3 linked regions of the Drosophila melanogaster genome follow. Changing the gene in region 3 together with the main gene of any one other region gives a genetic interaction. Each region holds a gene or a part of one and is shown on either strand. Other genes may lie near its edges. The genes, in order: arm, hyx and lgs.

The links.
Region 1: of lgs (region 3) and arm, changing one suppresses a phenotype caused by changing the other (phenotypic suppression), as found in Drosophila melanogaster (3 studies listed by BioGRID).
Region 2: of lgs (region 3) and hyx, extra expression of one rescues a mutant of the other (dosage rescue), as found in Drosophila melanogaster (one study listed by BioGRID).

Annotation. Positions count from the first base shown.
Region 1 is NC_004354.4:1,899,047-1,902,802, reverse strand, and holds the start of arm (armadillo), read left to right. Parts: upstream 1-2,156; 5' UTR 2,157-2,293; intron 2,294-2,629; exon of another isoform or gene 2,630-2,759; intron 2,760-3,192; exon of another isoform or gene 3,193-3,499; intron 3,500-3,756. Other genes in the region: CG32801 (uncharacterized protein), read left to right, coding at 16-181, 341-651; Ldaf1 (lipid droplet assembly factor 1), read left to right, coding at 1,001-1,090, 1,189-1,366, 1,526-1,738, 1,790-2,037. UniProt on the Drosophila melanogaster protein: Isoform neural may associate with CadN and participate in the transmission of developmental information. Can associate with alpha-catenin.
Region 2 is NT_033777.3:9,036,799-9,040,554, reverse strand, and holds the start of hyx (hyrax), read right to left. Parts: upstream 1,796-3,756; 5' UTR 1,633-1,795; intron 1,401-1,632; coding exon of another isoform or gene 1,376-1,400; exon of another isoform or gene 1,084-1,375; intron 885-1,083; 5' UTR 594-884; coding exon 463-593; intron 388-462; coding exon 1-387.
Region 3 is NC_004353.4:442,278-446,033, reverse strand, and holds the start of lgs (legless), read left to right. Parts: upstream 1-2,122; 5' UTR 2,123-2,640; coding exon 2,641-2,821; intron 2,822-2,879; coding exon 2,880-3,170; intron 3,171-3,644; coding exon 3,645-3,756. UniProt on the Drosophila melanogaster protein: Involved in signal transduction through the Wnt pathway.

The sequences.
Region 1 (3,756 bases), on a different chromosome or scaffold from region 3:
TAGACGTGCAGGAGCATGAAACCGGGACTCGAAACCACCGACGAGGTCGAGGAGAATGGCGACGCACTGGATCATCGCGAGGGGGATCCCCGACCGCTGCCCTACGACTTCGAAAAGGAGCTGATCCATAGATCTAACCGGCACATCCGACTTTACGAAACCTTTGTTCCAGTGAGCCAAGGTATGCTAGAGATTTCTGGTTAGCTCGGTATATCATGTTTGAGGACAAGCTTGTTGCATCGTAGCGCTCCTGTAAAAATAAAACTTTAATCATTGAAAGTTTTACAATAGTTTACAAAATTGTTCACTACTGCTAATAATATCTTCTCCTGCCTTCCAGTTCATCCGCTAACACGGAAGTTCTACGCCCAGTATGAGCAACGCCAGCCGACGGATACCTTGAGGTACCTACGGCACACTTGGCCTGAGAAGCATGTGGAGCGTCAGAGGCAGCTCGGAAAAGCTGTTCCGCTCCTGGAGTCGCAGGTGTACGGCTGGTTGCCGCTCAAAAGTGGAGAGCGAGCCGCCGATCTGAACTTTCTGCATGCCAAGAAGGTGCGCTGCGGCATGACTGTTCACGGGGAGCGCTTGGTGGCGGAGAGGATTACGGCGCGTCCTCCGTTTAACGGACTCAGATTCCTGCTTCACTAATCCTACGGCGAAGAAATGTCGCACGCTGACCGCCATTATAAATTTATAATTTTTTTTTTAACATAGTGTTAATTTTTTTTTTGTAAACAAATTAATTATGATTAAAAAGCAAAACTAAGCCACGCTAGATCATTATTAAGAAACGCATCTTGTCTAATTCAAATTTAGTAAAAAAAAAGGTGGCAGCTCTCCCTCGATGATTTAGTTTCAGGGCTACGACGTCGATTATTTTTTGTTTATTTATATTGTTTTCATTTACTGTTGCTTCAAGCAGGCGAATGAACCTGGAACAGACTCCTCCTGTAATGCGCACAGCAACCGCCTGAGATTCTCGCAGTAGCCACGCAACATGGTGGGTACGGGTGTGAGTGAAGTGGGTGTTCCGGCATCTTCGGAAGAATCCGTAGATTTCGGCTGGAATCGGCATCGCAAGTCAAAGGTCGCGTTTCACGGACTCAGTGGCAGCCGGCATCTAATCACTTGGGTTCTTTGACTCACATAATATTCATAACTGATTTGATTTGATCGACTCTGCAGGCTCACTCGAACAAGGCTCGCAAAGCAGCCAAAGAGGCAAACGCCAAGAAGTCTGCGGGATCGGGAACAGAGAGCAAACCGGAGCACGTAAAGATACATGGCCCAGGCGATCGTAGTGCAGGAGTTCTGACTGGCGACCAGTTCCTGGAGAGCTTGCTCCAGACTCTCTACAGGTCATGTATGTCCACTAGTTGAAGTACTATCTGTAAAAGCGCTTAATTGCTTACTGCCACAATTAGTTACTTATATATGTACTACTCTGTACGGTTGTTAACCTGTTTTATGCATCACACCGCGTAACAAAAGTTGCCTTTGTTATAACGTTGCCATATTGCAGGGCTTCAAATCTGCCGCCTGGCAGATTTTGTGATGTCCGAGCTAGGTGGAAATGATTTCCTGGAGGCCACCGCGGCCTGGTGCACCCGGAATCCGCACGTTGCTATCTGCCTGCTAGCTGGTGGTCTTGTATTCATGCTGCCCTTCCTTATAATATTTGGGTTTGGAATAGCCACCATGGTTATGACCTTTACAGGTTTGCTGGTGCTAGAAGGTGCGTTCCGTAGTGTTTACCAGAGATCACGTTCTTATCGACTCGTTTTAGGCACACTCCTGACCATTGTGTCCATGGTGTTCTTCGCCTGCCTGGGAGGACTAGTCATAATGGTACCTCTCTTCGGTGTCGCCGCTGTTGCTGCCTATTTCGGATTTGCCCAGGTGTATGGCCTATGTGATGGAATAGAGATCCATAAGAGCGCGTGGGTCATGTTCTTTAGGGATCAACGGAAGGCCGGCGATCCGCCGCCAGCTGCTGTGACCATAACCGATGAACCCACTTCTACGACTGCATAAACCAATATTGCTTGCCCAACTTAAATATGTATTAAGAAATTAAAGACCAGTGTTTGAATACTTTTGGAAATTTAAAAAGTGCGCTTTCTATTTTGAAGCAAGTTGGCAGCCACCTGCGATAGAGGAGTTATCGGTTATCTGTTCTGCGCTCATATACACAGTTTTCATAGTCGGGGATTTTTGTCGAATTTAAATATCTAAGTGCGTCAAAAGTGCGTTAACCTGCCTTTGAGCAGATAAATTTACTTTCGAAGCGGTAAGTAATAGTAAAGTCATAGATATTTCTTTAATTCGTCGCCCAAAAACAATAGTTTTTGGTCGTACCTGTGTTGTCATACACCCTCATGTACACTCAGGTGCTTGTGTTGGTAAATGTTTATACAAGATAAACGGTGAGTTCGAGATAACATGATAACATGAACTAGAAATAAATTCGCCTTAGCTAAATTATAAATATTGTGAATTGAGTTTCTTAAGGATGAAATGCTATACAAATTTCGTGAGATTTTTGTGTTCTCAGAACAAAAAAAATTTGAAAAATTCCTTTGGCCTATCGCACAGGGCCCATCGAGTTATCGGGACAGCAGCAGGCCATCGCTAGTTGGGTTTCGTCGCCATATACACAGTTTTTCTCGAGCAGACAATTCGCTGTTATTTTGTTTCTTATAGCGTTTTAAATAAATAAATCCTGCTCTAAAGCAGACTTAAATTCCTTGGACGCGGTGAGTACTGTTAGTCGGTAGTGAATCCGTTTGGAAAGCCAAAGTTTCTGTGTGCCATGAAAGTTGGAAAGCCATGGCAAACAAGTCGGCGCGGGGGTGGGCAGGGGTTCGCTGGATGTGCGCCTGTGTATGTGTGTGTGTATGATCTGGATACACACAAACGGCATTTTTATGTATTCCTCCCCCGTAAATCGGGCGCTTGTTTTGTTGCTCGCTGGAATGTAAACAATGCCACAGACAGGAAATCGTTTTCTTCGAATCTAGAGGCAGGCTTATCGTTAGGTGTTTTATCTAATCGACAACTGAAATGGAGTTGGGATTCTTTCTGAGCTGCCTACGCGAGTATGTGTGTGTAGGCACAATCGTTTGGATGTGTGGCAACTCTGCGCAGCACTGCATTTGTATGCTGCACTGCCGCGGCCCTTTACTTTCTCTCCCAGTCTCTTTCCCTGTCCCTTTCCCGCACTCCGCACGCGCGGTGTTGCAAGTGCCTTGCTTTGCTTGCGCTCTCCGCATCTGGATTCTGTTCCGTTTAAACGAGCGTGCTGGTCGGTCGCATTTTCCGCTGCGCCTTTTTCGAGAGAAGTGAAAAATCCATTTTGTTTTTTGTTGGAGTGCATGAGATTTGAAAGAGTGCTAAACAAAGTAATTAAATAACTCAAGGTTCGTGGCCAAAGTCTTCGGCAGGTAGACACACACATACCCACAAATACCCGTTCTACCTGCGTAAGAATGTATTAGTGCGTTTGTTTGTATACGCAGCATATTTCATATTATGCTTCGGCATCTCAAAGCGGAAATGAGTTAAAAAAAAAGACCAACGACTAGAATAAGTGACTAACGGACGATATCTGCGTCTGTTGGCAGTCTGCAAACACAACAAGCCCTTCTTTCCGGGGCCCCCATTTAGTGGAGTTCCGTGGTCTCCATCCGAAGCACACACGAACTCCATGTTATTGACTGTCCAGCACATTACTCATATACTCTCCGTCTCTTT
Region 2 (3,756 bases), on a different chromosome or scaffold from region 3:
AGCGACTTGATGTTGTCCATGTTGACAGCGGTCTCCTTCTGGTTGACATCCCATCGGGCGGCCAATTGCTCGCGCACCTTCTGCACTTGAGTCTCCTCGAAGCGGGCCTTCTTGGCAGCCACCTCAACGCTGGAAGGTTCACCCTCGGCGGCACGCTTCACCTGAGTGGGGATTTCCAGCGGGGCACTCTTGTCGATGCTGGCACACGTTGGCGTCTCGCCATTCAGATAGGCCAGGAGCTCTTTACGATCCGGCCGATTCACAGCGGGTATATCCTCGGCGGCGCACTGTCGCACGTAGACCGAGTGTTGCAGCATCACATTCTTGAGCAGGTACAGCAGGCACTCCAGCGTGTAGTACTCACGTGGAGCGCCCTTCTTACCGGATCTAATCGACGGGAGAAAAGTGTAAGAGTTAGTGGCTAATCCTAGTTGTCCCACAGGTCGTCCTGACCGCACTTACCCATATTTGAGATAGTTGGTCTTCACGCTCTTCGGCCAGGAGAACTCGCCGAAGATAATCTGGCTGTCTCGCTCGACAATCTCCTTTTTGTTTATGTTGTACTGCCGAAGCAGGCTGAGCGGATCTGCCATTTTTCTGCCGGTTTTCTGTGTGTTTTCGGGCGGCGGGCGTGTGTGGTCGGTGTCGCTCTGGAAGGCGCGCGGCGGCTACGCACTTTGTAATCCGCGAAAGATATATAAACAACTTCGATTCTCGCTTTTTATGGCATATTTTTAGTTTTTTGCCAGAGGTTGCGTGGAGTGTGACCGTAGGCGGGGTGAAAAATACCAAATATCATAGAGAGTGCATCGCTTCTCATTTGGTATAAATCGCTGAAGTTTCGTCTTTAAAAAATATCGCACTAAGTCACGGCTTTTCGTATCCTGTGATTTGTTAACAATTAGTTTTCTTAATGGCACGTTATACAACGACAACTCTTTAGAACACTTCACATCTTCAGGAATTGGCATCATTAATAAACGAAGTAAATGACTTTTCTAGCGCGTCTAGTGATTTGTTTATTTATAAATATTGTATGGTATATTCTTGTGTGGCAGATGGCAAAGCTGGACTGTCATGTTTAAATACTAACGCGGTCACACTAAAAAAAAGCCTTGCGACCGGCAGCTCCATCCAAATAACAATTAGGCAAAGCTTTAAAATGCATCGCATTTAACGCCTATGATTCCGGAAGTGAGCTAGCCTGCCAATAGCACACGATCGGCTCACGGTGCACATAATATCGAGCTTATGCGAGGGCTGGTCTACGTGAAAATTCAATGCCAAAGAAGCTGTGTGTGTCCTAGTTGTTGTGGCTGTTGTTTCTTGTGCCTTTCGGGAAGCGAAACACGCAATTTGTGATTTTAATTAAGCAATGGGTCAGTCGGCTGGTAAAATAGGTAAGTAAACAAGGCTTGATTTAACATGGGATGTCGCGTAAGGAGGATTTAGCTTGTCTGTCACCTTACAACAAATAAGCCGAATCGCCATAAGTTGGTAAAGTTTCTATTTAAAATGGAATCCTAAAGTTATAGTAAAGTGTATTACAGTTATAAGCCCCGCTTGAATATGAATTAAAAAACTATGGGCATTCCAATAGGTTTGTGACCTTCCCACCACCCACACACTCACATGTTGGCAAACAGCTGATCCCCCTTAGCGATGACACTCGCTGGTTTCGCGTTAGTGTCGATAGTTTTTGTTACTTGATTTTAATCTTACAGGTGTAAAACCTGATTTTAACTATAACATTATTTCTGTTGGGATTTAAAACCTAATATATGATATCTGTGATTTCAAAATATTTCCTATTAGGTTCCTTGAAAATATTTTAAAAGCTCGTGTGATTTTGAAGCTTTTCCATTCACATTCTATCCATATGAAATAAAAAGACCAAAACAAACGTTTAAACGTTTAGAAACTGGTGTAACGTTGTGATAATAAATTAAACTTTATTTATTAGAGGTCATCCCCAAAGAACTGACCATAAAAGCAAAAGATGTATAACCCATGCAAGTACACTTAAACAATTATTCCGAGCCCGCCTATAGAGATATCAAAGTAGTAAGCAGCTTAGGCTACCGAAAAGTCAAAAAAAATAAGGTGGTAAAAATTTAAAAAAGAAGATTTCTACAAATCCCGACATAAAATCAGCTCAGGAAAATAAGTCTGATTGTAGGACGCGAAGCTTGGCGCAATGGACATCGTATCCTTACAGGTGTATTTTACGGGGATTGCAGAACTGCACTTACCTGCTTAACACATCCACATCATCAGGGACTCCATCGAATCGTATCAGCTTCGATTAGACCCAAGATGCCCATGCAGCTGTGGACAATAAATTATAGAGTTTATGGCAATGATTTCTCACAAAACGGGCACAAGACGAAGGACGAAGGATCGCACAAAGGCGGAGGAGAGAATAAGTAAACCCCAATAGGCGCTCGGTTCAGGTAGGATCACCGAGTTGTAACTCCCTGACCCTGAGACAAAGACACATGCTGTGGGCTGGAAACCCGCCAGGAACTTCTTTCTATGACTTGCCAAATGTCCTGTTTGCATCGGAGTAACCGAAAAGATATCTTCCAAGCGCAGATCTCGCATTTTTCATGGGACAAGGGAGGTTTTCCATTTTACGGGCGGGAAAAAACTGCAATATGAAAACCGTGAAAGCCGAAACCCCCTGAAAAGGCAAACATTTGGCCAACAGAACGTATATTTCTCTAACGGAACGCAGTTTCCCCCGCATGTGTTGCATTGGCGGTTATTCCTCGGCGATGTTGATATTTGATTAGCGTACGCACGCGAGGATGCGGAAATGGGAAGTGGATGTGGAAGTTTAAGTTGCAGTTGGCAAATGGGATGCATTCTAGTTCCCTTTTGTTAGATCTTGATCGGAGTTTCGGGATGAAGCCAACTGCTGTCGCAGGTATCCTCAAAATATGGAGGAGTTCCTCTGAATAAGTCAGGTTTTTTGAAGAGAGTATATGGACGGCAAGCAACCCTCGGTATGGGAATCTTTAAGATCTACAAAGACCTTCTTCTTTAAAGCTATGTAGAAGATGTATAATACTATCTTGTCTGCAAAGAAGTATTAGAATTCTATTAGTAGTATCTTAGAATAGTTGTCAACGTGTAATTTTAACCATATCCTCAAACTCTGTTCTCCACAATATAATATGTACAAACATTCACTATACCCTCGATCCTTGCAGACTGGGAATACATATGGGAATACCTCCTCCACTATTGCTCTGTTTCTCAAGTGCTTGCGCAATTTTGGGTTCTGTTCTCCTGAATTCCCTTTTGTGTCCGCAGGATTAGTTCGGGTATTTATACATATGTATGTACATATATATGAAACACGACAACTGCTCCTCAAACGGCTCCTTCATTTTCCTTGGCCTGTCTGAAGTCCTTTCCCTTTTCTTTTCCTTCGAACAGCACTGCCTTTTCCCCATGACCCGTTTGCATATGTGTTTTCTAATTAAACATTGGCATTTGCTACAGTTTTTACTTAATTATGTGTATATTGATCGGCTATCGGCGATCGATGTGAAGAGCCGGGGAATTCTCAGCTGTCTTCCCATCGACAGCTGCCAATTTCTTGTATCTTTTCGTTTATTTTCTTGCACTTCGTCTTTTTTCATTAAATAAATCATACTATCAGTGCTGATCACTACAAACTACTTCCCCACACTTATCTTTGGCCCACTTGAGCTATTTCCTCTATTTAAATTAGTTTTGGCATTAGAT
Region 3 (3,756 bases):
TCATTTTTCTCTGGAGCGCTTATATGTATATACATATAGCATAGTAAGTTAGTGATTATACATCTTACCTTTTTATTTGCAAAGCAAATGTAATGAATTTGTTTTTTGATTAGCTCATAGACTATCGGACACGAACAAAAAAATTAATTTTTCAAGTTATGTCGTTATTTTTTTTACATAATACTTAATACTATACATTTATACAGTTAAAATCTTTCAAAAAAGTAACTTTCAACCAAATCCGGAAATAAATTCTCAGTACGATTTTCACAAATTGGTTTACCGTGACACACTGCTCCATTGTTTCCAAATCTTAGCGGAACTTTAAACGTGACAAACTTATTTTGAAACATTAGCATTGACTGTTAAAATTGTGATACGTCACCTGGTTCTGGTTAAGTCAAAACAAATTGAACAAAAATTTCTTGGTGATTAAAAATATTTAAATAAATTTATATCTGTACTCTATTGATTTCCTATTGATATTTTGGAACTAAACCTTGGAACCAATCTTGGAAATTATAATTCTTGCGAACGTTCATGGACAGGAACAGGGCGAGACATTTCATTCCAAAGAAACAGTTGGGAAATGAAAACGCTTTAAGTTCTAATTAAAACAACTACCACTAGACTGAAGCTTAAGAAATAAATGCTTAAGCTAAATGTATTATATAATTTTTATTATCTGCAACATTTTAGTGAATAAACAGTTAATAATTGGAGTACATTCAAATTTGTATGTTGTTCTCAGATAGGTGACTGTGGCATGGATAATAGCATTTTCACACAGATACCAATATATCCGTTAAATTCTTAAAGTGAAAATTTTCAAGTTAATTAAAATTATTATGGATTTTTAAAAGAACTTTTTGAGGCAACACTTACTGGTTAGTAATCTATATAATGTAAGCATTAAATCAAACTTTTAACTTATAAGCATTTTATGGAATCATAAATATTCTTAATTGCTTTTAAATAAATTAAATTTAAATTAATAAATTTTAATAAATTAAAATCTCGCTTAGGTGTTTGCGACTATGGAAAACATGCTTAATATCCTAAGACCAAAAAATTTACAAATTTTTTTTTTTTTAATGCGTATCTTGATTTAGAGATTCAAGACCAAAATATATATATATATATATATTAAATAACATTCAAATCATAGAAGCATTTTAAATTAAATTTAATTTAAATTTAAATTAATAAATTTTAATAAATTAAAATCTCGCTTAGGTGTTTGCGACTATGGAAAACATGCTTAATATCCTAGGACCAAAAAATTTACAAATTTTTTTTTTTTTAATGCGTATCTTGATTTAGAGATTCAAGACCAAAATAGCTGTCATATATATATTAAATAACATTCAAATCATAGAAGCAATACTGTTTTGGGATTTGTCTAAGCAACAAACATTTTTGTTTAAATGAAAACATAATTGCATTTCATTTTTTATTCATGAATTAATGCAAAACAAGAGAAAACTCTTTAGTAGATATCCCCGATATGAGATACCCGCAACTCAGCAAGTTTTTTGTTAAGATAAAATGGGAAAAAAGCTAAAATAGCTTTGACAAATGTGGACGTGTCAGTTTTGGGTGGCTTATGGGTGTTTTGCAGACAAATATAAAGGCAGAAACACACGGAAAGACGGACATAGCCAGATCAACTCATCTATAACTATCCTGATAAAGTACATATATCTTTTACTCCACGTGCAATGGGCTATATTATTTGTGAGAACAACACAACGACGCCGGCTGTTCAGATATTTATAAGAGTTTTGCGATATCCCTGTTATTGAGCAAATATAGATAATAAAAAAGCAATAAACGGAACTAAAACTAAGTTTTTTTTTCCAACCAATGTGAAGAAAATTATTACCTCAAATTACAACGGGGACGACAACCACCCAAGAAAAAATATGTTTTTCCATATATATATGCAAATGCTTCGATTTGTAATTCAAAATAATAAAATATGAGATTGCTGACTGAGCTGCATTGGTCTTGCTTAATAGGGTCTTAAATGAGTAGTGGATGTTTTATGGAATACCCTGGTTATTTATGACTTAAAGCTACCAGATCTGGAATTCTAGTATGAAAGTAATAATTATACCAAATTTGGTTTGTTCGAATTATCGCGGTCTGGTCACATATAAGGGTAGTAATTACATTTTTTATATATTAGATTGCTTCTCTTATTATGCGAGCTGTTTATTCCAAAGTATGTTCGCAATTTTCGACTCCTGCTAACATAACGCACGGTTAAAGCAGGAACATTTGGGCCTATAAGCCCAAAATTTCATTAGCTTAATACGATGCTCCGAAGTGTTATTGCATTTGCACATATACATAAAATTGTGACATAGAATAGGAGAATTCCACATACAAATACAAAAATACAAAATCCTCCAGTAAAATTTAAAACGATATCGTGTTTTGCTTCGCGTATCTCACGTGAGATGTAATCGCATGCATATGAGTGGTGAGTGCCTGCGTGCAGTTCCTGGTCTAAATATGCTTAATTGCGTTCGCCGACTTCAAAAGCAATAAAACGATGGATTTTAATTGCTACTTGAGCAATTAGCCACACAAGGGATCTTGGGAAGGTCGATTTGAAGGAATTCGATTTCTAGGATGCTCTCGACAACAATGCCCCGCAGTCCAACCCAACAACAGCCGCAACCAAACTCCGATGCCTCCTCAACAAGTGCATCTGGATCAAATCCTGGAGCAGCGATCGGAAATGGGGACTCGGCGGCGAGCAGAAGTTCTCCGAAGACCCTTAATAGCGAACCCTTTTCTACTTTGTCGCCGGGTAAGACTTGTATTGATTTCTCTTTGTCCGGAATTATAACAACTTTCTGTGTTTCCAGATCAAATAAAATTGACGCCAGAAGAAGGCACTGAGAAAAGCGGACTATCAACTAGTGATAAAGCTGCCACTGGAGGAGCCCCAGGCAGTGGAAATAATCTGCCCGAGGGACAAACTATGCTAAGGCAGAACTCTACGAGCACAATCAACTCGTGCCTAGTCGCTTCTCCACAAAACTCCAGTGAACACTCGAATAGCAGCAATGTGTCTGCTACAGTGGGCCTTACTCAGATGGTAGATTGTGACGAGCAATCGAAGAAAAACAAATGTAGTGTGAAGGACGAGGAAGCTGGTAAGACTGCCCTACAAATGGTTTAAAATTTTAAAATGTATTGGCGTTCACCTTTGTTAATCATTTAATTGTTTTTTTTTTGCTATACTTACAATTTTAGTTTTAAACTTGTAAACTTGACTAAAACTCGCGAAGCTCGGATCAAAACAGACATTTTCTTGGAACCGTAATTAAGCTCATAAAAATATTAATTCATCTTGATGGAATGCATATCATAGATGTACTCAAACATCTCAAGAAAGACCTCAAATTGGATCAACTAATTAGTTTGAGAAAAAATTGCTGTACTTTTAAGAATATATTAATTTAAAAATTTGCTGAGTGAAATGATATAATAGTCACAATAATTTTTAGTTAAACTGCTAAAGCATTTTGAATAGCCGTGCTACGCAGATGCTACTAGACGCGGTGTAAAAGCTAATTTTTATTTAAAAGCTGTCCTAATATTCCATAACCATTAATGTCCCATTTCAGAAATAAGTTCTAATAAAGCAAAAGGTCAAGCAGCTGGTGGCGGCTGCGAAACAGGTTCTACATCCAGTTTGACTGTCAAGGAAGAACCCACCGATGTCTTAGGCAGTTTAGT